Elephas maximus indicus: one gene and its partners. The protein of the gene in region 3 purifies or fractionates together with the protein of the main gene of each other region. This does not show direct contact. Links are inferred from orthologs where the notes say so. Each region holds a gene or a part of one and is shown on either strand. Other genes may lie near its edges. The genes, in order: EXOSC2, EXOSC3, EXOSC10 and EXOSC9.

Region 1 (8,332 bases), on a different chromosome or scaffold from region 3:
ATCAATTTTACCTCTGTGATTCTCCCCACTACAATGTCTCCTACTTCACCATTATATCTGAAAGATAAAGCAAAAGGTCATCAGCGAACAGATTGTCTTACATGGCCAAGCACCATTTGAGATTTCAGTTACAACTGGATGAGGGCCTGATTAGGCACATTTAGCAAACTTACCTAACTAGGCTGTTCAGACTTATTTTCAGAAATTGATAACGCCAAACATTCCTACATGAATAAATTCTCTGTTAACTATTCTTAAACAAACTACTTATTGCCAAGTGGTTTAATAAGCCTGAAATCCCTATTTTATTAGGTCAATGTAAAGGATAGAATGTTTTCCTGTGGGCTCTGCACCAGCCAGAAGAGGAAAAAGGAGATTCTGAGACAGGATGCCACCCAAAGAGGCACTGATGCCAGTTAAATGGGCCTACTCGCCACCTCTCCTACCCGATGGCTGCCCTTTCGCAGGCCTCTTTGCTCTGATTCTAATGATGATATGTTCCAATGCTCAAGGTCAGTCCCTGGGCCTCTTCACTTTTCAGTTCACACTCATCTCTTGGTAAGTTCATTCAATCTAATGGCTTTAAATACTACTGATGACTACCCCACACACTCCATTTTAATGACTAATAGGCATTTTCAAATTTAACAAGCCCAAAACTAAGCTTGCAAGCAACCTCCTCTTCTCCTCTCCCCATCTCAGTAAGTGGTGACTTCATCCCACCAGATGCTCAAGCCAAAAACCTTGGAGAGGCATCCTTGATTCCTTTCTGTTTCTCATGCTCCATGATCAGTCCAGCGGCAAATCCTGCTAGCTCTACCTTCAAAATATATGCAGAATCAAATCACTACTCCCATTTCCACTTCTACTACTTCATTCCAAGCTACCCATTACTTCAGATGAATTCATCTTCCTAAATCTGCCCCGATTCCCCTTCAACTTCCTCATAGCAGCCAGACCAAAAAAAAAAAAAAAAAAACTCAGTGCCGTCGAGTCGATTCCGACTCACAGCAACTCTATAGGACAGATTTTATTAAAATATAAGTCGATCATGTCCCTCCTCTGCTCTACCCCTCCAATGTCTTCCCAGGTTACGCAAAGTGGAAGCCAAAATGCTTACAATGGCCTACAAGGCAAGCCAGACTGTCCTCCCACCTCAGCTCTCTCTCTGCCTGTATATGCTCCTACCGTCCCCCTCACTCACTGTTCCTGGGGCTAACCTTTACTTAGCCCTTCTAGGTACTAGGCTCTGTGCTAAGTATTTTACATAAATTCATCGCTTCGCTAAATTCTAACAAAAATTCTAGAAGGCAGTTTGTGTTTTTATCCTCATTTTGCAGAGGAAGTAACCAAGGCTTGGAAAGGTTAAGTAATGGGGGAAAACCTTACATATAATCTCCATACAATCTTTCTTACAGTCATGTTCAAAATCACAGACTCACAAAATGATAGGGCAATTGGGAGGAGGGAGACAGAATAGACTTGGTCACACAATATGTTGTCTCAAGAAAGAGAATACACACCTTTTGTCCTCACCTGGTTTTCAAAGCTTTCACACAAATCAACTTGTTTACTCTCTCCACAGAGCCAGCCACAGATGCTATGAGCTTCTCTTCCCCCATATACGTTCCATGACCCCTGTTGCAAGATACAGATACAAAGGATACTAGGGTAACACTTGAGGTGACCTCTCCCCTCAAGAACAATGTGTTCCTCAAACCTAACACGCTCCTTCTGCCTTAAAGCCTGGCTTTTGTACTGGTTACTCTACGGGCCTGCAACACTGCCTCTCCAGAGAGCTACACGGACGTCTCCCTCATCTTCGAGTCTGTTCAAACATCACTTTCTCCATCTGACCTACCTCATTTAAAACAGTAATCCACTCTGCTGCCCATACCACCACATTCCCAACCCCATTCCAATGACCCTGCTCTGCTTTTTGTTTTATTATTGCACTTTCACCAAACATTCTGCACAATTTATTTATTTGTTGTGATTACTTAATTATTATCTGTCTGTCCCTGTTAGAATTTAAACTCCGCCAGGACAGAGATTTTCATTTTGTTCATTGTTGTACCCCAACCGCACATAATATAAATGTATCGAATGCCAAGAACGCAGGAATGAGTTTTAAGATTTCCGAGAATTCAATAACCTCAAACTGGGCAAAAAGGTGGCGTAGTGGTTAAGTGCTATGGCTGCTAACCAAGGGGTCAGCAGTTCAAATCTGCCAGGTGCTCCTTGGAAACTCTATGGGGCAGTTCTACTCTGTTCTGTAGGGTTGCTATGAGTCGTAATCGACTTGACGGCAGTGGGTTCGGTTTTTTGGTTTTGGGCAAAAAGGCAATGTTGTAAATGCTGTATTCCTCATATATGTACATGTGTCTCCCCCACCCCCTGCAAAAAAAGAAACAAACAAACCAACTAAAATGTTAATAGTGTTTAAGGTGGGATTATATAGGGTCGCTATGAGTCGGAATCTACTCAAGGGCAATGGGTTTGGTTTTTTTTTTTTTTTGGTTTGGTGGGCTCTGTTTCTCTTTTTCACATTATAATCTCATTTAATCCTCACTACCTTCCCAGATAGCTACTGTCATCACTATTTTACAAACGAGGAAATAATGTTTCAGGAGATAATGCCGCTAATAATAAATGATGGCAGCACGACTGGAACCAGGACCGTTTCACTCAAGAGCCTGCCCTGTTAACCATAACAAACTACATTGCCTTTAGGTCAAAGATTGTATATTCCGATGCATGTAGCACAATATATTTGTCTGCCTTAACCCAAACTACTGACTCCAAAACCCAGCCCCTGGTCCCAAGATGACACTGAGGGAGATGGAAGCCAAATCAGAAACGCCCACCGTTCTCCTGAAAACTGGAAAGAGGCCCTTGTTCCAGACTCTCCCCAGTTTTCCAGGTCTCCAACGAGGAAGGCTTAGAGATCTGGGCCAAAGGCAGAGGACCCGAGAGACCACGGCCACCAGAGGTCAGGAGAAAAGGGCTTCAGGGGGCTGAGACAAACGCGAACACACAAAACAGAGAGTGAGAAGCCCGAGTCCTCGGAAACCCGGGGACTGGGGTGCTCTGGAGATCTGCGCTGAATGAAGGAAGGGCTTAGACTCTGCAGGCCGGGGTTTCGGACTAGTAGGCCACGTGCTGAGCCCTGCACTCGCTCACTGGAGTCCCGAGTCCCCCAGGTCCCTACATACCGCATGAAGCCCGTGTCTGTAGTGATCGTGTCTCCCGGCACTACCAGGTGTTTTTTAGTCTCGCGACCCAGGCTCTCGCTGAGAGGTTTGCGAGCCACTGGAAGTCTCATCTCCATCGCCATCTTGGCGCCAATGACTTGCGCAGGCGCAACCGGGCCCGGAGCCACGATATCCGTCCCCGCGATTCCCCGCGGACGCTCGCAGGGGCGGGGCAGAGCAGGGCCTTTGAGAAGCCGCCAATAGGCGGTCACGGGCTGGCGGCCATGTTGACTAGTGGCAACCCTTAGGTTAACTTGAAGGGAAAGAGGAGCCGAATTGCCATGTTTACTATTGGCAAGGCTGCGCCAGTGAAATAGCAAAGTTTCACGTTGTGTGACGCCTGGATTTTTACCAAAACTGCCTCGTACACACTATCCCGTTTACTGTTTACCAGGATTAGAGATATTTGAGAAATGGACCTCTGAGTTTCCTGACAACTCTAAGCCGCTAAGAGTCTGGTTCTTTTTTTTGTATGAAAGAATCTAGAAAGATCCATAGGTAAGATCTACAGAAAATAGTATTGGACAATAAGGAGAGCCCCTTTCCACATCGTTCCTAGTGGCTTATTTTACATTACAGCCAGTATTTTACATTACAGCCCCCGTGTAGGTTGCTGGTTCGGCACCAACCATCAACTCCTCCCAACAATGTTCCGCATTGTTCACTGGTTTTCTACTTTCCTTGTAACGTTCTTTGAGTGAGCTGATTTACTTTAACATTTCTTTTGAAAAAACAAGAAACTGTCTTAAAAAAAACCAGTCAGACCTTGCAGGGCAGGTATGTTTGGCAAGGAGAGCAAGTGCCCACATAACACAAAGATTCTCACCTGTATTTATACTTCTTGTGAATTGGCGCTTTCTGTGTGCCAGGCATCTTTCTAAGGATGCAGCGAACATGTGTATGTGGCTTCACCTCCACGTCCTACTTAATGCGAGCATTTCCCTCACCCATTTTTCCTGCCCCCCACTATGCTCTCCCTGGCCCTTGTCCTTCATGGTTTATAGCACAACAAACTTGTGTTTCAGCCTCGGGAAATTGGAGATTATAATTCTTCATGCACAGGGACCATTAAAAAAAAAAAATTTTTTTTTTTTTAAGGATTAAATGGAAGAACTGCCTGCATTAGCCACATACTGCTTGCTCTACTCAGTAGATCAGGCCCGCTGCTTCCTGAAGTTTTATCAGATCAATTGTTTTATGAATTTCCAAAAAGAGGACACTTCTTTCACCTAAGCAAGGCTCATGACTACCAACCCTGTGAGGCAATCTCTGATATAAATGCTAGAGCTCTGCTGGTCATTGGACAAGTGGGCAGGTCAGACCCTCACCCTCCTCCCTACCTTGAGGAAGGCACTGGAGCAGAAGAAAGTACAAGGGCCCATCTGTTGAGTCAAGCCTTGGCCATAAGAGGGCAGTGGTGCCCTGCGAGCCGACAGAGCCCAGCCAGTTCAGAGCAAGATTCTGCGTGCCCCTAGACCAAGGGGTGGGGTATAGTCTTGACATCTTGTTTTACACTAGGAAGGATGAACAAAACCTTAACTCCTTTAATTCTCACAGCACTCCTAGTTTACAGAGGGAGCCCTGGTGTTGCAGTGGTTAAGCACAATGGGCTGCTAACAGAAAGGCAGTTTGAACCCAACAGCCACTCTATGGGGGGAGAGATCGGCAGTCTGCTTCTGTAAAGATTTACAGCCTTAGTAACCCTATGGAGGGAGTTTTACTCTGTCCTATAGGGTTGCTATGAATTGGATTTGACTCAAGGGTAACAGGTTTTTTGTTTGGTCATCACGTTGGTATTAAAAGTGATTGCTGCGGAGTCGACTTTAAAGCCAAGTGTGTCAGTGTAGAATGGATGCTTTCTTATAGATGCACAGGGACTATACAGAGGATTAAATTATCAAAAAGGATGAGAATTCACACAGCAGATGGTGCCAGAGCCAGTGTTCCAACTGTACCTGCCTTACTCCGGGGCCTGCACCGTTTGCTAAACGTTTCCCAAAGGCCCGGGCCTTTGCTGGGCACTTTAAAAACATTGTGTTATTGATTCCTCACAACAACTTGGCCCATCATGGAGGTAGGCATTGTTAGTTCTGACAGTCATTTGGGGCCGTTAAGTCCCAAAAACAAACTGGCAGCTGGCCTTCCCACCCCAGGCTCTGCTCACTCTACCACACTTGCCTCTTCACTACCTTGTGGATGAGTAGACTCAGGAAACATGGCTGCACGTCCCAGAGGACTTGTTGAAAATACAAGCTCCAAGCCCAGATTTAGGCATTGAGGCTTTACAAGCGTGAGGCCCGCAGGTCTATCAGTATGTGTTTAACTCCCCATGTGATTTTAATCGTTGGTCATTTTAATTCTCGGATTCCTCCATCTACATCTCAATCTGTGCATCTCTGTGGCCACTACTCCAGGCCAATCAGTGTCACCACTCACTCGAGTGGCTACAATAACCTCCTAGTTTGCCTCTCTAATTGTGTATTTGCCCCTTCTACCATTTAGTCTCTGTACAAGGGCTAGAGGGATATTTTTAAATCAGATCAGATTAAATTTCTCCCTGCTTAAACTTCTGGTGGCTTCCCCTTACACTGAGAATAAAATCCAAACTCATCATCCTGGCGTTGAGGCCCTGTGGGACCTGGCCCCTGCCTGTCTCTGACCTCATTTGCCTATATATCTGTGCATAAACTTTGATTTCCACCCACATAACGTTCCTGCCCTGAGGCAGCCTTCTCTACATAACATCCCTACCCTGGGGCAGCCTTCTCTAGCCAGGAGCCCAGGAGTGGGGGGCCTGTCTTACAAAACAGATGTCAGGTGGTCATGGGTGGGAGCTATCTAGTCACACTCCATAATTTTCCCCACCCAACCACAGACACATACTCCTAGTGGGCCAGTTCCAAAGCAGGAAAGAAGCTGAAAACTTAGGATATATGATCCTCCAGTTTGAGAGACCCAAGGGTCATAAGTATAGAAAACAGTTGGGGGAAAGGGGTTTAACAGCTGCCTCAGATGCCCTCTTGGGGGTGTCTACAACCCCTGGCACACACCAAAGCATTCTTTTATTAATAACAGCTCCCATATATTGAGCATTTACTATGTACTGGACACTGAGCCATGTACTTTATTCATTTATATGCATTATTCCATCTAATCTCACAACATCCTTAGGAGCTAAGTATCACTCCATTTTCCATGTGAGGGAACTGAGACATAGAGACGTTAATTGACTTGCCCGAATTCACACAGCTAGTGAGTGGCACAGCTGGGATTTGAACCCAGCCTCTAGAGTCCTTCTACTACTGAAAGTCCTGGTCGATGACATAAGGCAAGAGAAAGAAATAAATGGCATCCAATTAGAAAGGAAGAAATAAAACTCTCTTTATTCACAAGCAACATGATACTGTACGTAGAAAGTACGAAAGAATCTACAAAACGCCACAGGAACTAATAGGTGAGTTTTACAAGGTCACATGAAACAAGGTCAGTGTACAATGCTGGTCTACACTGCACCCCTATGGGAAATGCAGCAGGTCCTTTGGACTGAATCTGTGGACTGAATGGGAAGTGGTGTGCCCTAAAGCTCCTGAGAGTCAGATGCCTGTGGTGGAACCCTGCTCTGCCACTCTTCCACTGAGTGATGTGGGCAAATGACTTGCTCTCTCTATGCCTCAGTTTTCTCATACCTCAAATGGACATAAAAAGAGCATTGGCCTTGTGGGGTTGTTGGCAGGGTTCCCAGAATGCATGCATCTAAATCCCTAAGCCTGGGCTGGCCCACAGAAATTGCTGTGATTGTGTTCACATGCTTTTGTCCAGGGAGTGCACGCTTGGGAAAGGGGGTCAAGGTCTCTGCTGGAAATGCAACCAAGGTGAGAGATAAGGCTTTCGGCGTCAAGCCTCCCAGCACCATGAGCCCTGTTTGTTCATCCTTGTTTCCCCAGTGCCTAGCACAGGCCCTGACACGTGTCTGTAGAAGCAGGTCAGCTGGCAAGCCAGTGGCACCTCGGTCTGCAATTACAGCTCACTGCCACCAGGTGGGTTCTGGAGCCTGGGTTGTGGCCCTGGTGTTAGCTGGGACTTAACTACCTATGGAGAACAATTTAAATTTTTGATCAAGGACGCCACTGACTTCTCTGAAGTCTGACTCCTGCAGGTTCTTCAGAAAGCCAGCATTTTACCTTATTTGGGCATTACTGTCTGGGAGGCATGAAGTGTGAGCCATGATGGTGTTTAATTCCACTTCACCCGTCATCATCCAGAGGGAAGGGGCCTCGGGACATACAAACTTTGGCTGTGGGGACAAGATGCCTGGGTGGGGGAGGCAGTGTGTGGAGGGTGGTACCAGGGGCTACCAGAGGCTTCGAAAGCCTAGTGGAGAGGCGTCAAAGGAGAGGCACTAGGCGAATGCATAGAGACAGAAAGTGGAATCGAGGTTACCAGGGTCAGGGGCAAGGGGTAATGTGGAGTTATCGCCTAATAAGTATAGAGTTTCTGGTAAGGATGATAAAAAAGGTTTGTAAAACTCACTTATTGGAAATAGCGGTGATGGTTACACAACATTGTGAATGTAATTAACATTACTGAACTGTACACTCGAAAGTGGTTAAAATGATAAATTTTGTTATATACATTTTACCACAATAAAAAAAAAAACTACCAAATAAATAACTGTATGAATAAAACTGGCTGCCTGTTTAAAAAAAAAAAAAAGGAGAGGCGAAGTTTGTGACCGGGGGTGGGAGGAATATCAAGGATGGCTCTGTCACCAGCCAGAGGCAGGAAACCCCAGATGGAGCCTGCATGTGAACACATCAGTGTACTTCCCTGCCTGTGCCCCACCAGCCAGGGCATGAGATGACTCCCACAAAGGAGGGTGTATGTGGGAGTACCATGTGAAGCTCCAGATGGAGGTGACCTGTGTGTCCAAGTATGAATTTCCAAGTTTTTGCAGGGGTATGTATGTGTGCATGTGCACACATCTGCAGGAGGATGCAAGGAGAGATGTACCCACAGGAAGCCTCCAGGCATGCTCACCCAGCGGGTTACAGGGGTAATACCCTCATGACTGGTATATG
Region 2 (7,735 bases), on a different chromosome or scaffold from region 3:
TGTTTGTTTGGTCATTTCCTTTGGAGTTCTGTTACTTTTTGTTATCCTCTGTGAGGTCGGGGTTCTTTTCCTGACAAGTTCCAGTAGAACATGACTTTCTTCTGCAGGTGATGAGGCAAGCCATGAGAGTTTTGCAGGAAAGAAAGTGAGCTGGATTTTAAAAAGATGGGTAGTAGCCTTAGGGAGGAAGGATGAACGTTTGAAGAGTAAAGAGGGTGATGAGTCAGAAGGTTGTGACAAGGGCCTGAACAGTGATCAAGGGTTTGGAAAAGAGTGGAAAAGAAAGAGCAGGGAGGCCCATTTCTTGGGCTCTGACTCTGACAAAACATTCTCCACTGTAGTTTGGGGACTGAGTTTTTCTTGCAAATGTGTTGCTCCTCACTGCCTACAGGATAAAATCAAAATGACTTAGCAAGTCATATACAAGACCTCATGCTATTCTGTCCTGCAGGAATACTCTATCCCTGCCCTTTCTCCCTCCTCGCAAAGGTAGGTACTGTTATCGTCATTCTATCAATGAGGAAACTAAGGTACAGAGAAGTTAAATAACTATGTACATGGATATGTAATCTATTGATAACTGTGATTATCCCTAAGGAAGTAGAGAGAATGGAGTTTGAAGGGGGACTTTATCCACTTCCTTACTGTTGTATTTTTTAAATGTTTGTTAAAAAGTTTTAAATTATTTTAATTGGTTAAACAGGGTATGAAATGACTACCAAATGGTGACATGACACCTATTACAAAGAGTAAATATGAACTAGAAAACAAAACAAAAAAAACAAACCCACTGCTGTTGAGTCGATTCCGACTCATGGGACAGAGTAGAGCTGCTTCATAGGGTTTCCAAGGCTGTAAATCTTTACGGAAGCAGACAGCCACATCTTTTTCCTCTGGAGCCGGCATGTAGGTTCCAACTGCTGACCTTTCAATTAGCAGCCAAGCACTTTAACCACTGCACCACCAGGGCTCATTTCCTTATTGTAGTTTTGAGTATTTGCAATTGGTTTTATGTTGTGATACACCAGGACCAAGCTTAAATGCCAGCCAAATAAGAAAGAACCTAGCTTGTAATGTAATTTAGTTCAGATGGGAGTGTGGGGACCATACAAAATTTTATGGAATTGCTAACACATACAAAACTATTTGGTAAGGGGAAAAAAAAGTTTCCTTATGTTTTACTTTCTCCCATAAGTCCTAGGTTTAAGAAGTTATGATTCTTTGTGATTAAAAACATCTGTACATTTGTGTAGCGGTAATTGTAAGCACTTATGCTTTTAGATTATATCTGTATTTGAGTAATACTAATGATTACTTCCACTGACTCTTTTACTAACAATTTCTGTATATAAATCAACGTAGGTTTCATTTGTAATTTTTAGAAACCAGTAAACTAAAAAACTTTCAGGTTTCACTTAGGAATCCCCTCCACTGGAATACCTACCCTGTCCCCTGCCTTCCCCTGAGACTTAAAAAAAGAAAAAAAAAAAATTGTTGTCAAGTTGATTCCGACTCATAGGGACCCTAAAGGACAGGGCAGAACTCCCCCATAGGGTTTCCAAAGAGCAGCTGGTGGATTCGAACTGCCAACTTTTTGGTTAGCAGCCGAGCTCTTAACCACTGCGCCATCAGGACTACCCAGATAGAGGTAACTATTTCATCCTGTGACACCCCAATCAGGTTTTTACTGGAGCCACCATAACTCATCAGTACTGTCATGTGTAGACAGTGAACTTGCCCAGGGCAGAAATCAGGATTCAACTGACTCCTCAGCTCAATTCCTGGCCCACAGCAGATGTTCAACAAGTGTTTTTGATTGAAAAAGGGGGAAAAAAACCCAACATTACCAGTCGAAAAAGAAAAGCAACCATGAAAAGCTACTCTTCCAAAGTCCAAAGTTTCTAAAGACGCGGTTCTGGGAAAATATCCGGAAAGCCACGATCAACCTTTCGACAAGGCAATTGGCAGTTCCCCCAGGGAAACAGTCAGAAAAGGGAAGAAAGAGGTATGCCAGAAGGCACTCGACTTGATGCCACCTCTACTACACTGGCACCAAACCAGTAGCACCCAAACAAAGAGGCCTAATCCACCTGGATCGATCAGGCCTGTAAAAGTCACACGTACACGGCCTGTGGGTGGAACGTGGTCTCGAGGCCAGAAAGCGCACACCGACTGCCCGGGGCCACCTGCTTCTTCCATATTCTGCCAATCGCCGTGGCCACTTTTACAACCAGAAGAGACACTAAGCGTTATTATGAGATCTTTGTAACTGCAACACCAGGGACCCCAAGAAAGGTCTCACGCTCCCCAGAATTCAGGGGCCGTGAGCTCGAGCCAGGTTCTACACACTCGCTCGTAGCCTCAGTCTCCCACCTCCACGCGAGTGGATACCCGAATCCTGGGGGCTCTGCCCACGCGCTCTCACTCACCGGCTGGCGCAGGACGCCAAGGCGGCGAAGCACCGACATCGTGGCTCGCTGCGTAGTAGGCAGGCTGCCTTCTCACGTGCACCACGCCCCCTCGACACCGCCCCTTCTGGGTGTGTCGGGGTGGGCGTCTCCAGGGAGGCGCTGATGACCCGCCCCGTCTGCCCCGGCTTCCAGCCTCTAAGTGACCTCACTCTTCAGGGCCTCTGTTGCTTCATCTATGTACTTGGGAATGACCCAGACGGATCTCGAAGTGTTGCGCTCACAGGGAAGTGGACTTGAAAGAGCTCCCCTGGCAGGTTTGGGCTGATTTTCTTCCAAACAACCCACAACCAATGTAGGGTGCGTGAGGAACAGTGCAGGGAACGTTTCCCGGCCTCCCTCTGTACCCGGCCTCAGCCTAGAGTCACTGAGAATCCTTCTGGAATGCCCTTAGACTGGACAGGATTGAGACCGAATACCTACTGGTTCTAGGCCCTCTGTAGCTGGGTTTACGTAGGGAGGAGAGAAGCAGAATTTATACCCTTTTTCTCCCGAGAGCTCCTACTAATGCCAGGAAAACTGACCAAAAACAGTTCTTACAAAAATCTGACTGCAAAGCAAAAGTTGGCCTCTCATGACATCTGAGGAAAATGGCACGCCAGCATCCCACCAAATTTGGGTCGTGTGTTAGAGATTGTCTGTCTTAAAAACACCTTAGAATTCTAAAAAATTCACTTTGGAAGTGGGTGCCTCAAAAGATGCGAAGAAACAGAAACCCAGAAAAAACAAACCAGTTGCCCTCGAGTTTATTGTGACTCATAGCTATCCTATAGGACAGAGTAGAACTGCCCCATAGGGTTTCTAAGGGGCTGCAGGTGGATTCATACTGCCCATCTTTTGATTAGCAGCCGAGCTCTTAACCACTGCGCCACCAGGGCTCCAAAGGGGCCCCTAAAATTCATCGGTCAGAGCGACGCCCTCCCAATTCCCAGCAGCTCTCACAACTGCTGGAGAATCTGACCAACCACTAATTGGAGGTGCCAGTTGACAGAGAAAACAGTGATTTCAAATAATACCCCTGAGTCATAAGGGCAGGAAGCCTTGAAGTACTATGAATTTGCAATTCAGCTGCTTCTTACATGGGCAACCAAAGTGTTGGTTCAGGGTAAGTAAAACCTACCTACTGCCATCGAGTCGATTCCGACTCATAGCGACCCTGTAAGACAGAGTAGAACTGCCCCACAAAGTATCCAAGGAGCACCTGGCGGATGTGAACTGCCCCAGGGTAAGTAGCAGCAGGGATTCAACTGTAGTTAACTGATTTTCCCACGTCATGTAGGTGTAGCTCAATTATGTGAAACTGTGCATGTGATGTGTATATTTGCAGAAAAATAAGTCTAGCGAGAATACACACCAAAATGTTAACATTCATTCATCCAACACGTGTTACCTATTTCACGCCAGACCCTGGGCTACAAAGAGTCAGAACTAGGGCTGACGGTCTAGCTTGAGACAAACGGGTAAAACCAAGAAGTTATGTTTATTAATTCTGTGTTTTCCACAATGCGAATAAACGCCTTCTTGGCAACAACCAAAAAGGTTTTAGTTTGGAAAGAAAATACCTCTCCTGGTAAAAGGTCAGCCACCGTTCTGAGGGCAGGCTCGAGGCGAAGGGACTATGAGTCCACCCGACCCCCAACTCTGGAAGCCCCTCTGTTCAACTCCCAGGATTCCATACAAGGGAGTATCTTGTATCTCACGGTGCGACCGGCCACAAGACACGCGGCCCGAGACACCCGGAAGTCCAGGCTCCGCGGTCTACTCAAGCTGAGCGTTTCTCATAACACCCGGAAGATAGACAACTGACCAGGAGGAACCACAACCACCTTGGGGGTATCCGCCGGCTCACGGCGATTTGGCTTCACAGACGTAGGAACCACTCCCACTGACCCGTAGCGCCGGAAACGGAAAGTGCTGAGCGGGCTGGCGATTGGGCGCAGAGCCGGAAGTGGAAGCACGGTGCCGGAATTGGTGTTTGGTGGCGCCTGGTATGGGTGAAGCTGCGGCTATTGCGTCCGAATCCCTCGCGGGCAGTAAGGCCCGGGCGGCGCGCACAGTGTTAGGTCAGGTGGTGCTCCCGGGTGAGGAGCTGCTGCTGCCGGAGCAGGAGGACGCAGAAGGCCCTGGCGGTGCTGGGGAACGACTGCTGCGCCTCAACCCCGGGGCGCGTTCGCGGGTGCGCGTAGTGTGCGGCCCGGGCTTGCGGCGCTCTGGGGACCGTCTGCTGGTCACCAAGTGCGGCCGCCTACGTCACAAGGAGCCCGGCGGCGGCGGCGGCGGCGTTTACTGGGTGGACTCACAGCAGAAGCGGGTGAGCTGGGGCTCCGGAGTGATATCCCTATCCAGCGAGAGTGGTATCCCTATCCTGGGGAACTTCCTGGAAGAGAAAAAGGAGGGGACCCTGAAACACCGTCTGTCATTTTGAGATTGTGCCCACCTTCCCATCTCCTTTGAGGGACCGTGAGCAACAGGAACGTGGCCAAAGAAGGGCGATCAGGGGAGAAAGGCGTGTGGAAACCTTAGCATATAAGGGAGATAAGGACTGTGACATATGGCCATTGTCTTCAAAACCCCAAAGGTCAGGGAGCGACACACTTGTTCTTTGAGGCCCCAGAGGACAGAATCAGGCTTGATGAGTGGATATCATCAGGAGTTAAATTTCTCTCAGAATAAGTGAGAACTTTCTCGTAGGCAGAATTGTCGAACAATGGATTGGGCTTCTTTGGTAGTAAGGAACCCTGTGCCACTGGATGTAAGTGCAAGCAGAAGCCGGAGACTTTCTGGTAAGGGTGCTGAAGATGGTATTCAGGTATGGCATACTGGCACCAATTAACAGACTTTTAGAAGCTGCAAGCTTGAGAGAATATGATGTGACTGGTTTTCATTTACTGAAAGTGGTATGTGATAAAGTTTGTTGTAAAGTTTCTATAAATAACTTGAATTGCAAAATATTTTCTAAACATTTTAATGATAATCATAACAAAGTAAACACTAAGGACTTGCTGGAAAAAATTTAATTTGTGGCTGTTCTTTCATGTTTTCTTTTGTAGTATGTCCCAGTGAAAGGAGACCATGTGATTGGCATAGTGACAGCTAAATCTGGAGATATATTCAAAGTTGACGTTGGAGGGAGTGAGCCAGCTTCTTTATCTTACTTGGCATTTGAAGGTGCAACTAAAAGAAACAGACCAAACGTGCAGGTAATGATGGGGGCCTTTGGTTTCAAAAGTATAAAAAAAATAAACCCATTATCTAGAATACAAAAATATCCAGAAGGCTACTGAACTGTTGCCAAAGCGTGACCACTTTTCCTAGTTTTATAGGATGATCTCTCAGGCTTCCAAGAGTTCCTTCAGGTGCTTCAGCTCTTGAACTAGACTACATATGTGTTTTATGTTTGCAACATTTGTTCTTGGAATGTTACATCTCTACTGCATTGAAAGGTTTTATCTGTTATCTCCAGTATCACGGGCATTGACCAAGGTAGTCAGCAATAGGCTCAGAGAGGGAGAATGGACAAGTGGCACAAATTGCCGTATCAGCCATCCATCCATCCTGGTTGTAGGCCCTGGGACAGGCATCTCACGGTGTAGCCATACTGCCCTCTGTCCATCCAAACCAGAAGTTGAGTGGTTTCTTTGCCCCTTCTAACTCCTCGCATGTTCTCAGTTGCTTTATTGTTTCTCTGATCTTCATGTCTACCCCCTTTATCTCAACTTTGCGAGTTCAGGCCTTGCTACCCTTAACTGGCCTTGGTCAGTGACCTCATTAACATCCCTGCCTCCACACTCTCATCCTTCCATCTAGGCTTTTCAGAGCTGACATCCTTACATACTCCCTTTCTCAAAACATGAATGTTCTTCAAAGCCTAAAGAATTCCTTGGCATGACACCCCAGGGGTCTTGCCTCATCCATAATTATATCTTGCATACAGCCATGCTTGAGCCACACCAGAGTATTTGATAGCACCACTAAACCCATAATTTCCTGCCCTTGTACCTTTGCTGATGCTGTGCCCTCTGTCCCTTGTACCTCCGCTCAGGCTTTATCTGTGGGACATGCTCATTCTTCAAAACCCAGCCAAACACCAGATACCTCTGTAAAGCCATCTCCAATCTTGAATCACTTTAACTTTGTTCTAGCACTTACTGGATTCCGGTTTGAATGAAGTTTTTGTTCATATGTACATCCTAACTGCCCCCAAAGACCAAATGTTTCTGAAGGGTAGCAAATGTTTTGTTCATCTGTAGTTCTCAGAGTCAGTGTTTTGTTGAGCAAACAGAACAAGTTCACTGTCTTTCCTCAGTATTATCATTTTGAAGTTCCACTGCATGAGATTTTTAAGTAAACCTTACATGGAGAAATATCAGTGGCTTATCGTTGCTCCAGCTATTTTGCTTGAGCATGCCAGGAATTCCTTCCTCTAGCCATAAACCTTCTGGAATCCTAATAGAACTTTCTGTGATGATGCTAATGTTCTGTACCTTCACTGACAGCCACTGGCCACATGTAGTTATCAAGGACTGAAATGTGGCTAATGCAACTGAGGAACTGAATTATATTTTAATTAACTAAATTTATTAAATTTAAATGTAAGTCTAAATAGGCACATGTAGCTAGCGGCTAACATAAGGAACAGTGGAATCCCAGAGTATGTTGTCTGGCCTTGGCATTGCTCCCGTTTGGGGATTTCCTGGTGTTTTAAAGGGTGAAGGTACATGTGTTAATACTGTCTTCTTTTAAGACTCAATTCCAAAGTGACTGGATCCTCAAGTATAGTCAGTCCATTAGCCACAGAACTGTAGGTAGCTGCCATTGCTGCCTGTGTGTGGGAAAGAACCAATGGCAGGACCTGTAGGATGGTTTCTGAGATGAAATGAGCTGTTTTTTTGATTATTGTAGGTTGGAGATCTCATCTATGGCCAGTTTCTGGTTGCTAATAAAGATATGGAACCAGAGATGGTCTGTATTGACAGCTGTGGACGAGCCAATGGAATGGGCGTGATTGGACAGGACGGTCTGCTTTTTAAAGTGACTTTGGGCTTAATTAGAAAGTAAGTTCTGATGCCTGCTGGCTTGCCTGTCTCCTTTTACAATTATGTCTTACTGGAAAGCTGGCCAATCTTTAGGATTTGGATTCTACTTAGCAAAGTCTAAATTTCTCCTCAAAGCTAAAAATCAGTATCCTTTTTAGCAGTTTGTAAGTCATGAATTTAGTCCCATCCCCTCTTAATTTGAATACACTAACGTGAATGTTTCATATTCAG
Region 3 (8,140 bases):
GCAAAAAAATGAAACAAGACCCATACCTCACTCCATGCACAAAAACTAATTCAAAATGGATCAAAGACCTAAATATAAAATCTAAAACGATAAAGATCATGGAAGAAAAAATAGGGACAATGTTAGGAACCCTAATATATGGCATAAAAAAATAATCTAAAACGATAAAGATCATGGAAGAAAAAATAGGGACAATGTTAGGAACCCTAATATATGGCATAAACAGTATACAAAACATTATAAAAGACATAGAAGAAAAACTAGATAACTGGGAGCTCCTAAAAATCAAACACTTATACTCATCCAAAGACTTCATTAGAAGAGTAAAAAGACTACCTACAGACTGGGAAAAAGTTTTTAGCTATGACATTTCTGGTCAGCGCCTCATCTCTAAAATCCACATGATACTGCAAAAACTCAACTGCAAAAAGACAAGTAACCCAATTAAAAAATGGGCAAAAGATATGAATAGACACTTCACTAAAGAAGACATTCAGGTAGCTAACAGAAATATGAGGAAATGTTTACGATCATTAGCCATTAGAGAAATGCAGATCAAAACTACAATGAGATTTCATCTCACTCCAACAAGGCTGGCATTAATCCAAAAAACACAAAACAATAAATGTTGGAGAGGCTGCGGAGAGATTGGAACACTTCTACACTACTAGTGGGAATGTAAAATGGTACAACCACTTTGGAAATCGATTTGGCACTTCCTTAAAAAGCTAGAAGTAGAACTACCATATGATCCAGCAACCCCACTCCTTGGAATATATCCTAGAGAAATAAGAGCCTTTACACGAACAGATATATGCACACCCATGTTTATTGCAGCACTGTTTACAATAGCAAAAAGATGGAAAGAATCAAGGTGCCCATCAATGGATGAACGGATAAATAAATTATGGTATATTCACAGACTGGAATACTACACATCGATAAAGAACAGGGAGGAATCTGTGAGACATTTCATAACATGGAGGAACCTGGAAGGCATTATGCTGAGTGAAATTAGTCAGTTGCAAAAGAACAAATACTATATAAGACCACTATTACAAGGACTGAAGAAACAGTTTAAACTGAGAAGAAAACACTCTTTTGTGGTTACGAGAGGGGGAAGGGAGGGAGGGTGGGAGACAAGCATTCACTAATTAGATGGTAGATAAGAACTACTTTCGGTGAAGGGAAAGACAGCACGCAATGCGGGGGAGGTGGGCACAATTGGACTAAACCGAAAGCAAAGAAGTTTCCTGAATAAACTGAATGCTTCGAAGGCCAGTGCAGCAGGGGCAGCGGTCTAGGGACCATGGTTTCAGGGGACATCTAAGTCAAAAGGCATAATAAAATCTATTAAGAAAACATTCTGCATCCCACTTTGAAAACTGGCGTCTGGGGTCTTAATACTAGCAAGCAGCCAGCTAAGATGCATCAACTGGTCTCAACCCACCTGGATCAAAAGAGAATGAAGAACACCAAGGACACAAGGTAATTATGAGCCCAAGAGACAGGAAGGGCCACATGAACCAGAGACTACATCATCCTGAGTCCAGGAGAACTAGATGGTGCCCGGCTACAACCGATGACTGCCCTGACAGGGAAAACAACAGAGAACCCCTGAGGGAGCAGGAGAGCAGTGGGATGCAGACCCCAAATTCTCATAAGACCAGACTTAATGGTCTGACTGAGACTGGAAGGACCCCGGTGGTCATGGCCCCCAGACCTTCTGTTGGCCCAGGACAGGAACCATTCCAGAAGCCAACTCTTCAGACATGGATTGGACTGGACAATGGGTTGGAGAGGGATGCTGGTGAGGACTGAGCTTCTTGGATCAGGTGGACACTTCAGACTATGTTGGCATCCCCTGTCTGGAGGGGAGATGGGAGGGTGGAGGGGGTTAGAAGCTGGCGAAATGGATATGAAAAGAGAGAGTGGAGGGAGAGAGCGGGCTGTCTCTTTAGGGGGAGAGTAATTGGGAGTGTGTAGCAAGGTGTATATCGGTATTTGTGTGAGAGACTGACTTGATTTGTAAACTTTCACTTAAAGCACAATAAAAATTATTAAAAAATTAGAGTTTAAGTGAGGAATTTTGGGGGAATTCTTATTAACTTACATATTATTTTAGTTTTATGGCTGTGTAAGAGCAATGCATAATTTGTTTAAACCTAGTTTCATGTGTGTTCATATTTAAGCTGCATTATACAAATAACTTGAAGACTAAGGTATGCCTGACCCAAAAAAAGCCATGGTAATTTTCAGTCACATTTTATGCATGTCAAAGCTGGACAATGAATAAGGAAGACAGAAGAATTGACGCCTTTGAATTGTGGTGTTAGCGGAAAATATTGAATATACCACGGGCTGCCGAAAAAACAAACAAATCTGTCTTGGAAGAAGTACAACTAGAATGCTCCTTAGAAGTAAGGATGGTGGACTACGTCTTACATACTTTGGACACGTTGTCAGGAGAGATCAGTCCCTACAGAAGGACATCATGCTTGGTAAAGCAGAGGGTCAGTGAAAAAGAGGAAGACCCTCAAGGAGATGGATTGACACAGTGGCTGCAACAATGGGCTCAAGCCTAAGGACGACTGTGGAATGGCGCAGGACAGGTCAACAACAACGTACAAATAATTTAAATGAACCCTCTCCGTGTTGCTTCGAGGAACTTCCAGTCTAGTTGGAGGCATTAACAGATGTGGTACATCACTTGGAGGAGACTCACAGTAGCTGTATCAGAATACATTTAACGAAAGGCTTGGAAACGCTGTGGAGCTCGACCTCAGGAGAGGGAAGCCCATCCCGACTGCGGGAGGCCAGTACGCTGGGCCTGTGTGGGATGCGTAGCAGCCGGACGCTCCGGAGAGTTCGCCGGCGGGGGTAGGGGTTAGGCACGGGCGTGGGGTCTGGGTGGTCGCCGTGCCTAGGAACGGCAGACTGACAGGAAGTCCTGCCCAGGACGCGAAGAGGTCTCTCCACAGGCGGAGCAGGATGGGTCCGAACGGGAGAACGAGGGCTCTGTTTCCGCGTCCAGGACCTCATCGCGGAGGGTGATGCACAGGGGACTGTGCCCAGCGGCGGCAGCGGCCCCTCGACCCCCGCCCTGGGCTCCCCTGTGCCACGCGCGTCCGTATCTGCGGCAGAGTCCGGGCCTGCTTCCTGCCGGCCGCAGGCGACTCCCGGCGCCTCCAAGGCCCCGCGAACTCACCTTGACGAAGCTGTCTGCGTCCGGGAAGCCGGGTAGCACCATCTCCCGGTCGGTTTTGGCCGCACTCGTAGCCAACGGGGCCTTGGGCTCTCTAGGACTGGGAGGCGCCATTTTTGCGGCTGGCACGGCGCTTCTTTTCTCGCGAGAGTGTCTGAGGCCGACGCGACGGGTGCGCACGACGCAAGTGCGACAGCCGTTTTTCGAGGTGGGGTGAGGGGGCGAAGGGGCGAGCCAGGAGTTTGTGTTCCGGTGTCAGCTCTTAGCGCTCCACCTAGGGAACTTTAAATTTTCCTTTAGCTTCGTATAACGTCTTCATAACAACCCTGTGATTAGAATGGGAACTGGAGGACACAAGGATCCTCACATTTAAAGCCAATTTTTTCCCAAGCTCTAGGGAGCTGTGGTGACGGAGTGGTTAAAGCGCTTGGTTTGAGCCCATCTGCCGCTCTGCCGGAGAAAGACGTGGGAGTCCGTTTCCATAAATATTTACAGCCTTGTAAACCCTACGGGGCAGTTCTACTCGGATCTATAGGGACGATATGAGTCGGAATGCACTTGACGGTAGTCGGTTTGGTTTTTGGTGTTTACCAGTCTCTGGAACCGTGCCCCCTCGCCCACTTAAGATCTTGGCCCCTGCAATTATCCCTGCTCTCTGTGGCATCTTTTCCTTCGCTACCGATTTATTCCTAGCGACCTACACTTATGCTGAAATGTCTCCCAATTAAAAGGAAAACAAAAAAACTCGACCCCACATGTCCTTCCGGTCACCACCATATTTCTCTTGCCCTTTGTAGGAAAACTGGAAGGAGACGTCTATACGCTCCGGCTGGACTTCCTCATTCGCTAATGCTCTCCCTGAACCCGTCCAGTCAGACACTGTTCACCATCTACACCACTAGAACTATTCTTGTTAAGGCACATAGTGGGGGCTCAATAAGCATTTGTTAAATGAGTAAGTGGTAGAACCCTTGTAGAGTGAGGCACTCAGGACACGGTCTCCAGGAGACTCATAGGGCTGTACTGTTCCTACTAAGAGCATGGGTGGCACACCCTTAGTACAATTCATTTGGCTTAGTAAGTGCTCAATGTGTAAGCTGTTATTGTTATTCAGAATATCCTATACGTAGGATACTTGCTTTTCATTTTTTCCCATTTGGGTACTTCGGGTACAAAGGTACCCTGACAGAACAAAGGCCTAGTTCATTGTAATGATATTTTTGTGCACTTATTTTGTATGGTTTAACTTAATACCAGATGTCAGGCTCTGCTAAGTGCTTTACATGGATTGTCTTATCCTCACAACCTTGTAAGGTAGAACATACTATTATTCACCTTTTCAGATAAGGAAACAAGCATAGAGAGATTAAGTAACTTGTTCTCACACAGCTAGTATGAGGTGGAGTTGAGATTTGAAAGTAGGTAATTTGGGTTGCACTCAACTACTAAGTGAAAGGTTGCCGGTTCGAATCCACCAATGGTGCCGTGGAAGAAAGGCCTGTCGATCTGCTTCTGTAAAGATTACAGCCAAGAAAACCTTATGGAGCAGTCCTACTCTGTAACACACAGGTCACCATGAGTCGGAATTGACCTGACAGTGATTTTTAAAATTTGACACGAGAGCCTCAACTCTAATTTATACCGCCTCTCCAAAAAAATATTTTTTTTTTCTCCATTTTAAGCCCCAGCCTATGGGATCCTAGGGATGGAAGGGTCCTGAAAGTCATTCTTGGCCATATCCCTTCCTCCCTTTACTCAGGGTTCCAAGAAACCATTCAGGATTGATGGGTTAATTAGGCTGTCTTTAAGGCCTCCATCATCTCAACAAAGTCAGAAGGCTTTGCTTAGGCATAAAACCCACTGGATTCACCAAAGATCTTAATCCCAGTGACTCTCATGCTTTAAGGAGTTTGTCTCTGCCACTAATAACCATTTTCCTGAGTCCATTCATTCCCATATCCTTTGTATTTCATAAAAGGTAACATCATTGTAGTCACTTCATCTAGCACCAATGAGGTTAGACATAAATCAGGTGTGGTCTGAGCATGGTAACCACATTTTTTTGACAGCAAAATAGGTGACGTATGGTTTAGGATTGTTATAGAAAATCTAAAATAGAGATGAGACTTCCTGTGTTAAAAATTCTATCTGTACCATGATTGAAATCTAAATTTAACAGAAGAGTCCTCTGTTGTTGTTTGGTGCCGTCCTGTCAGTTCCGACTCATAGTGACCCTATGTACACAAGAACGAAACACTGCCTGGTCCTGCACCATCCTCATAATCGTTGCTATGCTTGAGCCCACTGTTGCAGCTGCTGTGTCAGTCCATCTTGTCGAGGGTCTTTCACTCCTTCACTGATCTTCTAATTGACCAAGCATGATGTCCTCCAGGGACTGGTCCCTCCTGATAACATGTCCAAGGTATGTGAGATGAAGTCTCACCATCCTTGTTTCGAAGGAGCATTCTGGCTGTACTTCTTCCAAGACAGATTTGTTCGTTCTTCTGGCAATCCATGGTATAATTCAATATTTTTTGCCCATACCACAATTCAAAGGTATCAATTTTTTTTTTGATCTCCCTTATTCATTGTCCAGCTTTCCCATGCATATGAGGTGATTGAAAATATCATGGCTTGAGTCAGGCACACCTTGGTCCTCAAAGTGACATCTTTGCTTTTTAACACCTTAAAGAGGTCTTTTGCAGATTTGCCCAATGCAATACATCATTTGATTTCTTGACTGCTGCTTCCATGGGTGTTGATTGTGGATCCAAGTAAAACGAAATCCTTGACAACTTCAGTTTTTTCTCTGTTTATCATATTGCCTATTGATCCAGTTGTGAGGATTTTTGTTTTCTTTATGTTAAGGTGTAATCCATACTGAAGGCTGTAGTCTTTGATTTTCATCAGTAAGTGCCTCAAGTCCTCTTTGCTTTCAGCAAGGTTGTGTCATCTGCATATCACAGGTTATTAATGAGTCTCCTCCAATCCTGATGCCAAGTTCTTCTAACAAACCTTTATGGAGTACCACTGTGGGCGAGATCTTGGCAGATTCTAGGGATACAAAGATGTGGTCTTGTGACCCTCATGCTCCCGCTAACACAGTGGTCAAATACCTGCAATTCATCTGATTCAAATAAATACTTGCCATTCCTGTAAGGTATTGTGCTTTCATGCCTCGGTGCCTTACATTTTCTTTCCTGCTGAGAATGTCCTCACTTGTTCCATCCGACAAATTCCTTTTCATCCTTAAAGACCCATCACAAATATCCTCTTTCCCATGAGGCTTTCCCGGCTAACCTGCTGGAATGGCTCACATTCTGTACATGGCTCTTAGCACTTAGCTGTGGTGGAGTGATCAGTTCACTACTCTGTTATGCTGTCCTAACCTCTGGCCTGGAAACATGCTGAAGAAAGAGACCATGTCATGTACATCCTGTGTCTTTCTTGGTCCCTAGTACCAAGTGCTTAATGAAAGTTGAATGCTGAAGGAATAAATGCCTCCTTTTTGAATTGACTAATAATTATGAATAAAAAGTCACCCATATACATGTTTTTAAAATTCTCATGTCATTTATTGGCACAAAAATTATTCAGGTACAACATGGTGTCTAGACATGGCTACACTTTATACTTTGTGCATTTAGTTTAATATTTATTTTGCTCATAATTCCCAACATGTACTAGACCTTCCCTCTATGTTCAGCACCTGCGTGACAGCATTTGTTCCCCAAGCCCTTGCTCTAAACGTGGAGCATTCAGACCTCACTGAAAGTCGCCCAGGACCATGCTGGGGTGGGCCACCTCACTACACTGTGATCTCTGCTGTGCGTCTGCTCAGCCAAGGCTGCCCAGCAATTGGAATAAGCTCCCCTCCTAGCAAGTCAGGTCTTGGGTTCAGGTCTTGGGTTGACATGTGTAAGTCGCAGCATCACTGGGTCAGGCAGAAGACAGACCTCTCCCCCCATTTTGGCCCATCCTGAAAACACTGCTGCTGCTGTCCACGGACGCGTGAGGTAATGGGATGAAGAAGGTAATGATCTCTGCTTCTCCTAGCTCCTTACAGTCCAGAATCCTAATGTGTCTCCTCCACGACCTGAGGCTTCTTGACTGCGCGGAGTTTGCGGTATCTGTGCTGAGAGGAACGAGTAGGTCATTCTTCTATCAGCAAACACTTATGAGTTCTCTTGTGAGTTCGGTCAAAACCCGTATTTCTAAAGTTATGGATCTTCTGTTCCCCCAAGTCAATGGCTTGATTTATGTGATGTCACCATGTTTCACTGTCCTGGGAACCAAATCAAGCCTTGTGTTTCTGAGAATATATTCTTCAACAGCAGCTAGAAAGTTGGCACAAACCAACTTGTAATGTACAGTAGTTCTTTTCATTTACATTTCTAAATATTTAACAAAGTCAAACTTTCTGACCATGGTTTCAGTTTAGTGGAAGCATATACCAAAGTACAAAAGCCTCAAGGGAAATGCTGTGGGCATGTCTGGGCCTCCAGTTACCAGAAAGGACACCTAAGAAGACAGACAGAAAAGGAATATTTTAATAATCTGAGCTTCTTCAAAGCTTTACACACACACATTGAAAACGGAAAGACAAAGGTCTGAGAACCCCTGGGCTGCTCCCTGAGATCTCCCACCACTAATTGTGTGGGACACACTCATTATTCCAATCAAGGGCTGATGCCTGTCAGGTCCCAGAAGGACACCTCCCCACTGCCCTTTCCCTCCCATCTCTACCTTCAGGCATGCCTCCGGCAATTAATCAAAGCAGAGCTCAGAGTGGTCCTTGAAGTTACAATCCCAGATCATAAATCTGTCTTTTCATCTCCTTCTCTGTCACTGTTCTGATTTCTTTTTCTTTACCCTTCCTGTATCTGAACTGACAGCAAGAACACAAAAAGAACCCTTCTCAAAAAAAAAAAAAAA
Region 4 (7,543 bases), on a different chromosome or scaffold from region 3:
GAAACAGAAAGGCTAAGTGACTTCTCTGGAGTCAAAAAGCTGGACAAAATACACTAGTCAAGAATAAAGTTCTATGGTATACACAGAATGGAGTACAATGCAACATATAGAACAATGATGAATCTGTGAAGCATCTCACAACTCAGATGAATCTGGGGGACACTATGCTGAGTGAAATAAGTCAATCACAAAAGGACAAATATCATATGAAATCATTACTATAAAAATTCATGAAAAGTTTTACACACAAAAAGAAACAATCTTTGATGGTTACGAGGGAGGCGAGCGGTGGAGATAGAAAAACACTAAACAGACAATAGGTAAGTGGTAACTCTAGTGAAGGGTAAGACAGTACACAATACTGGGGAAGCCAAAACAACTTGTGCAAGCAAGGTCCTGGAAGCTCCACAGACACACCCAAACTCCCTGGACAATCGAATTGCTGCGCTAAGGGTTGTGGGGACCATGGTCTCGAGGAGCATCTAGCTCAACTGACAACACAGTTTATAAAGAAAATGTTCTATATTCTACTTTGGTGAGCAGCGTCTCGGGTCTTACGAGTGGTCATCTAAGATATTCCACTGGTCTCACCCTTTGGGAGAAAGGGAGATGAAGAAACCTAAAGATACTAGAAAAGATAAGTCCAAAGGACTAATGGACCACAACTGCCATAGCCTTCACCAGACTGGGTCCAGTACAACTAGATGGTGACCAGCCACCGCCACTGACTGCTCTGACAGGGATCGCAACAGAGGGTCTCAGACAGAGATGGAGAAAAATGCAGAACAAAATTCTAACTCACAAAAAAAATGACCAGACTTACTGGCCTGACAGAGACTGGAGAAAGCCTGAAAGCATGCCCCCTGGACACTCTTTTAACTCAGTAATGAAGTCACTCCTGAGGTTCACCCCTCATCCAAAGATTAGACAGGCTCATAAAACTATACAAGACTAAAGCGGCACACCAGCCCAGGAACAAGGACTAGAAGGCAGGAGGGGACAGGAAAGCTGGTAATAGGAAACTCAAGGGCAAGAAGGGAGAGTGGTGACATGTCATGAGGTTGTTAAACAGTATCATAAAACAATATGTGTACTGTTTAATGAGAAGCTAGTTTGTTCTGTAAACCTTCATCTAAAGTACAATTAAACAAAACATGTCAACAATGTAATAAAAGAAAAGAAAATTCAGGAAAGAAATACCAACTAAAAAAAAAGAATAAAGTTCTAATATCACCATACAGCACAATTTATTAAGACCAGGATTTCTAGTCTCTGCCCTACCACTGACTCACTGTATGGTTTCTGTAAATCAATAAATGTACCCAAATGAAGAATTTTATTCATTCTTCACTTCTCCATCTGTAAAATCGGAAAACAGTATGTACTTCTATTAACACACTTAAATAACATAAGAAAATAAATGAAAAAAGATACGAAAAAGCCACAAGTTCTTCGAATGAAACATTTCCCTTTTAAGGACGATGATTTTGTCCCTTCAGAGAGAGATAATAAAAGGCTCTCTGGAGAACACATGGAAGCATTTGCACTAAAGTGAACCAGTACAAACTGAATTAACTAAAGCTCTGAAAATGAGGGTATAGATACAGGATCCCATTAATTAACAATATCCATTCAAAGGTTAATAATTTCAGGCATATTCCCCACCTTTTCACCAGCAACAACACAGAGAGATTCAGTGTCTATACACTTTGAATTTCTCAGACATCTTTCCAAGAGTCGGTTCAACTTCACCAAGAGATCTGACTGCCTAGGAAAACAGGAATAGACTAATGTCACGAAATATAATATCAGGCATTAAAACAATAGTTCACTGCTGTTAGGTTTCCCTCTAGCTAAACCAGCTTAAGAAAAAGATTTAAATACCTGCCAGGTTCAAATGCTGGAGCAGCCATCTGAGATAGTTCAAGGTTAAAAAAAAGAATACCTTCTGTTGCCCTATTGAGTTTTGGAGAAACAAGTTCACAGGAAACCTGTCCAAGAACTCTGCAAAGATAAAGGACACAAATGCATTAAATAAACATATTTCCTTTCCAAATAAAAAAAGAAATCTAAAACAGGTACCAATTAAATTTCAATCTTATCTCAGTAATAACATGCTTGGCTTGATGTATCATAAAAGGTAAAAACCACGTATCTAGTAGTAAAATACATGCAAAACTAAAACATATATTGGTACAGCCAAAGGGATAACAACAAAAAAAACCTCTTATTACAATAGGTACTATTCCATAGATTCTTAAAACTGTTTTTAAAAAAATCAATTACCTTTATTTCTCCTTTCCAGTTTGAATCAAGACAGCATGAAAATTTGAGATTTCTTAAAAATTTTCACACGGCATAGTTCGCTAACATTACCTGACCAAATATACTCACAACTTCCAAATGAACATACCAATCTAACTCTCAGGCCATGTAAGAAGAAGGAAAATGGGACCTACTTAAGGACAAGATGCTCAGGATCTCTACATTACTCACATTAGAAGGTGAAAGAAGGGTGGCTACTGCAGTGCCCAAAACAAATTCAGTGTAATCACTGCTGGTTGTCTATATAATTTACAGAGCTCAAAAAGAATGATATGACACTCGTATGACAGAAAATACATTTATGATTAAAAAATAAAGTAACTGTAATACCTAAAAATCTTGCCTTAAATAAAATATACTTATTTTGGGCAGCTAACAACGTACTGTCCAGACTTCCCCGCTGCTCTGTAAACAGTCAAGGTTCTTTACACACTGTCCGCTATCGAACTCACATCTAACTTGAATTGTTACCTTGTTTTCCCAAGTTCCACAATACAGCAGCCATAGTCTGTTCCAAATGATATCTTGATGTTCCTATAATCATAGGTTTGTCTGCCATCCAGCCGCTGTAAACACAACATTCGTTCATTTACTCCTTCAGCAAAGATTTACTGAGCAACCACTATATTCCAGAGCCTGGTCTAAGCAACTGGATGAAAGTGGTGGGATCCTTACTACTCCACCCCCGTAAACCAAACCAAAACAAACTCTTCCATCCCCACAGGAGAGTGACAACTAGGCACCTGGGCACTGACAGTAACTCGGGTGACACGAGCCTTACAAAGAACGGGTTCGGGCAGAAAAACGAGTGGAAGGGGGACGCACCGGCCATACCCCTCGGGGGATCCCGGCCCAGCGCTGGTCAGGTCTGCGCGACTAGACAGGAAGGCTGAGGTCGGCCATGCGACCGGAGCGCCACTCAGCGCGCAGGTCTGTGGGGCCTCTTACCTTCTTCTCTTCGATGGCGCGGAGCAGAAAGCGGCGCTCGCAGTTTGACAGCGGCGTCTCTTTCATGGTGTAGCGGCTTGCTGGCCACCCTGGCACCGGTATCCGTGGAGAAAGAGAAACCCGCTCTCCTTCACACGCACCCTGGTCACCCTGCCGCGCCGGAAATTTGCGTCATCAAGGAGCGCGGCTGGCGGTGGGAAAACGAGCTAGACGTCGCTAGTGCGCAGGCTCAGAGCGAATTTGGGGAGGGCGAAGTGGCTTCGGAGAAGCGGAGGGGCTTCAGAAGAGATGTGCTTCTGAATCTGCAGAGGAAAATCTTCCCACCTCTTTTACTGTATATTTCTGGGCAGGAAAGAAGGGCACAAACAATAAGCAGCCGAATGCTATTAACTAATATTAGTACAGCGCTCTCACAATTCGCCCTTTCCTCAATTCTAGCGGGATAGGCTGAACAGTTATTAGTGAAATTTTACGGATGAGGAAGCTGAGATTGTCTACTCCAAAGCCACTGAGGCAAAGCTTGCAGCCAGATTAAAAAAAAAAAAAAAAACCCTGGAAGAGGGGAAATGGGCCTCGAATGGGGAGAAGAAAGTTGAGAAGGTGAGCTGGGTATAATAGAAGACTGAAAGTGAAACCTCATAGGAACTGAGTTCACAGGACTTGAGAACGTTCCTGCATTGTAACTAATGGTGTTATAGTTACCATCGACTGAAATTGAATTTACTGTTTATTTCTTATTGTCTCAACTTATTTTAAGCCGATAGACTTATTTTGGGGGGCTTAGTGAAACCACTCAACTTTTTTGGAGTGAGAATATTAAGTAGTAGTTAAAAGCAGGAACTCCGAACTGCCTGAGTTAAAATTCTGGCTCTGCCATTGACTAGTTCTGTGGCATTGAGCAAGTTACTTATGTGCCTCACCTTCCTTGTCTGAAAATTAGGAGTAATAAACCAATTCATTGTGAAGGATAAAAACAAGTTAGGGAAAATGGATAGGTAGGTCGAAAGCTGTCATGGAGTTGACTCCAAACCAACCCATGGGGACCCTATGTACAACAGAATAAAAAGTTTTGTGGTTCTGCATCATTCTCACCATGGGGAGGCTTGTTTGAGTCCATTGCAGCTCTTATGTCAATCCGTTTCACCCAGGGCCTCTGCCCTTGTTGGCCCTCCACATTCACCAAACAGCGTTTCCTCTTCCAGTGATTGTTCTCTCCTGATGACATGTCCAAAGCAAGTGAGTTTAACAGTGTTCTCTTGTGATCCTTAAGGTTTTCATTGGCTGATTTTTAGAAGTAGATCAAGAGGGCTTTCTTCTAGTCTGTCTCTGTCTGGAAGCTCATTTGAAACATGAAACATGTCCACCAGTTTCAAAATACTGCTGGTATTTGAAACACCCATGGCGTAGCTTACACCATCACAGCAACATGCAAGCCACAACACTACAACAAACTGAGAAATGGGCGGTGGGAAAAAAAAAGTTAATATATGTTAAATAAGGAGGCGTGGTGGTGCAATAAAAGCCCTGGTGGCACAGTGGTTAAGCGTTCTGCTGCTAACTGAAAGGTTCGTCATCTGCTTCATTAAGATTACAGCCTTGGAAACCCTATGGGGCAGTTCTACTTCGTCCTATAAGGTAGATATGAATCTGAATGTACTCCATGCCAACAAGTTTATGAGTCGGAATGGACTTGACCACAGGCAACAAAAACGTATGTAAATGGCTTAGAACAAGGCCTGGTGTGGAGTAAACCAAAACCAAACCAAACCCAGTGCTATCCAGTCGATTCTGACTCACAGTGACCCTATAGGACAGAGTAGAACTGCCCTGTAGAGTTTCCAAGGAGCACATGGCGGATTCGAACAGCCGACGCTTTGGTTAGTAGCCGTAGCACTTAACCACTACACCACCAGGGTTTCCAGTGTGGAGTAAGCACTATTTAAATATTTGCTTGTTATTTTGCTTCCTTTTGCTTTTGAGGTGGCAGGTACTATAATTTCTACACAGGCTTGATTATGATTATTTTATTCCTACTCACATGTTTTTTCTACCAGTGATACATTGTAGTCTCAACTTGTAACTCTTGCAATCCATGTACCCAGTAACTGTTTATAGAGGGTCTACTATGTCCCAAGAATAATTCAGGCACAGGAGAAACGGGGTGGACAACATTCTTGCCTTCAAGGAATTTTTGTTCTCTTCAGAGGAGACAAACAATTTCACACACTGGTAAGTGCTACTTGGGAATGGGGAGTTGCAGGAAAAGTTCACATTGTAGAGGTGACAGTTTAATTAATAGTAGTGAGAAGGAGGTTGCCATGATTTCATCTGGGGAAAGGAAAAGTGTTTCAAGCAGATGGAGCAAGTGTGCAAAAACTGAGATAGGAATGAGCTCAACATGGAGACAGGAACTGTGAAGAGAGGAGTTGTGAAGAAGGAGGGAAGTGGGCAGGAATTATGCCCACATGCTCAGTTTATTAATTTTCAAAACAGGCAAGGGGATTACAGGGTACAGGCCATTTAAGATCTTTAACAATGTAAGTTCTAGTACAGAATTTTATATCAGAACTCCTGGCTGTTATGTTCATCATTTAAATCCTTGGGTTCTTTCAGCAAGCATTTAGTAATTTCCCTTTTCCTTCAGAAATGATGTGTTGTTGTTGTTGTGTGCTGTGGAGTTGATTCTGACTCATAGTGACCCTATATGACAGAGTAAACCAAATCCAAGCCAAACCCATTGCTGTCAAGCCGATTTCAACTCACAGGGACCCTTAAAGGACACAGTGGAACTGGCCCATAGAAGTTCCAAGAAGCGCCTGGTGGATTCAAACTGCTAGCGTTATGGTTAGCAGCCGTAGCTCTTAACCACTACACCACCAGGGTTTCCACATGACAGAGTAGAACTGCCCAATAGGGTTTCCTAGGCTGTAATCTTTACAGGGAAACCCTGGTGGCGTAGTGGTTAAGTGCTACGGCTGCTAACCAAAGGGTCGGCAGTTTGGATCTGCCAGGTGCTCCTTGGGAACTCTATGGGGCAGTTCTACTCTGTCCTGTAGGGTCGCTATGAGTTGAAATCGACTTGATGGCACGGGGTTTTGTTTTGTTTTTAGTCTTTACAGGAGCAGATTGCCAGGTCTTTTCTCCCCTGAAGTCACTAGCGGGGTTCAAACTGCCTACGTTTTGGTTAGCAGCTGAGCACTTAACTGTTTCTGCCACCATGGCTCCTAGAAGTGACCTTCCTTTATTGAAGTTGTTTATCCTTCTCTGGAAGGCATCTTGGTAGTAGAAAGAGAGTGGACTTTGACTTCAGATAGACTACAAATGGACTTTGGTGAGTTAATCTTTCTGAGCTTCAGTTTCTGTATCTTTAGTTTGAAAATTATAATTACCGTGTGTTAAGTGGTATGAGTAAAAGCTTCTAGCACAATGCTTTAGACACGGTAGCTATTCAAACATTAGGTTCCTTCCTTTTTTGGCTTGGCAAAGCCATCCTGTGAGTCTTCCCAAATTTGGCATTTCAAATTGCTGTCTTGACTACATTGCCTTTGTTTTTCCTTCGATTTTTGTAGACTTTCTACCAATATTTCTTACTTTCACTATTATATTATTGTAATTTTAACACTGCAGCACTTGTCTTTTATTGAAGTTAACTCCTAGGTATATGATCCCATTTCCACTTACCTCTGCATACCATAGTACAATGTGTTTGCTTCAGGACCTTATTCTTAGTAAGAAGCTCTTGAAATGCCAAGGGAACCTTTGTTTTCGGCTTTTAGGGGGAAAAAAGTTTTTGAAGTTTGGAAAGAGGTTCAGATAACATTGCAAATTCTGCTGTTATGAAAAAAATCAGTCTGAAGCAACATATTAACCTGGATGAGCTGTCTAAATATAACCTGATTTTCAACAAATTCTTCAAATATACATCTTCTCTTCAGTGGACACCTGTTGCTTTGTCTGACCAGCACCCCTCTTTTTCTTGTAGAAGTGCCTTTCCCTGACACCACGTGGCGTTGCTGTGAGTGGGAATCGATTCAGAGGCAACGGGTTTTTCTTTTTTTGGACCTTACGTGATTCTGGTGTTGATGGTAACAGCAGTTGTGGGTGTGACCTGTCCTTGCTAACCATGGAACTGTATCTGCCGACCACATTGACCGTTCGCCCAGGTAGGCCCAAGCATAGTTTTTCCATCAGTCTTGACATGTGAACTCTGGGACAGAGAAGGTCTTTTCTTCTCTGGATTTATAAACTCTACATATCATGTCAGCCTGGA

The links.
Region 1: the proteins of EXOSC10 (region 3) and EXOSC2 fractionate together in Homo sapiens (co-fractionation; 9 studies listed by BioGRID and IntAct, with this or other methods). This does not show direct contact. The link is inferred for Elephas maximus indicus from reciprocal best matches to the Homo sapiens genes EXOSC10 and EXOSC2.
Region 2: the proteins of EXOSC10 (region 3) and EXOSC3 purify together in Homo sapiens (affinity purification with mass spectrometry; 8 studies listed by BioGRID and IntAct, counting the BioPlex papers as one, with this or other methods). This does not show direct contact. The link is inferred for Elephas maximus indicus from reciprocal best matches to the Homo sapiens genes EXOSC10 and EXOSC3.
Region 4: the proteins of EXOSC10 (region 3) and EXOSC9 purify together in Homo sapiens (co-immunoprecipitation; 7 studies listed by BioGRID and IntAct, with this or other methods). This does not show direct contact. The link is inferred for Elephas maximus indicus from reciprocal best matches to the Homo sapiens genes EXOSC10 and EXOSC9.

What each region holds. Positions count from the first base shown.
Region 1 is NC_064827.1:81,633,770-81,642,101, reverse strand, and holds the start of EXOSC2 (exosome complex component RRP4), read right to left. Parts: upstream 3,374-8,332; 5' UTR 3,338-3,373; coding exon 3,216-3,337; intron 1,639-3,215; coding exon 1,537-1,638; intron 58-1,536; coding exon 12-57; intron 1-11. UniProt on the Homo sapiens protein: Non-catalytic component of the RNA exosome complex which has 3'->5' exoribonuclease activity and participates in a multitude of cellular RNA processing and degradation events.
Region 2 is NC_064827.1:46,653,821-46,661,555, reverse strand, and holds the start of EXOSC3 (exosome complex component RRP40), read left to right. Parts: upstream 1-4,394; 5' UTR 4,395-4,458; coding exon 4,459-4,779; intron 4,780-5,518; coding exon 5,519-5,668; intron 5,669-7,370; coding exon 7,371-7,522; intron 7,523-7,735. Other genes in the region: uncharacterized protein LOC126082813, read right to left, coding at 2,430-2,468. UniProt on the Homo sapiens protein: Non-catalytic component of the RNA exosome complex which has 3'->5' exoribonuclease activity and participates in a multitude of cellular RNA processing and degradation events.
Region 3 is NC_064821.1:50,946,547-50,954,686, forward strand, and holds the start of EXOSC10 (exosome component 10), read right to left. Parts: upstream 3,357-8,140; 5' UTR 3,320-3,356; coding exon 3,209-3,319; intron 1-3,208. Other genes in the region: serine/threonine-protein kinase mTOR, read right to left, coding at 7,711-7,726. UniProt on the Homo sapiens protein: Catalytic component of the RNA exosome complex which has 3'->5' exoribonuclease activity and participates in a multitude of cellular RNA processing and degradation events.
Region 4 is NC_064823.1:25,405,335-25,412,877, forward strand, and holds the start of EXOSC9 (exosome complex component RRP45), read right to left. Parts: upstream 3,429-7,543; 5' UTR 3,340-3,428; coding exon 3,274-3,339; intron 2,892-3,273; coding exon 2,797-2,891; intron 2,005-2,796; coding exon 1,885-2,004; intron 1,769-1,884; coding exon 1,666-1,768; intron 1-1,665. UniProt on the Homo sapiens protein: Non-catalytic component of the RNA exosome complex which has 3'->5' exoribonuclease activity and participates in a multitude of cellular RNA processing and degradation events.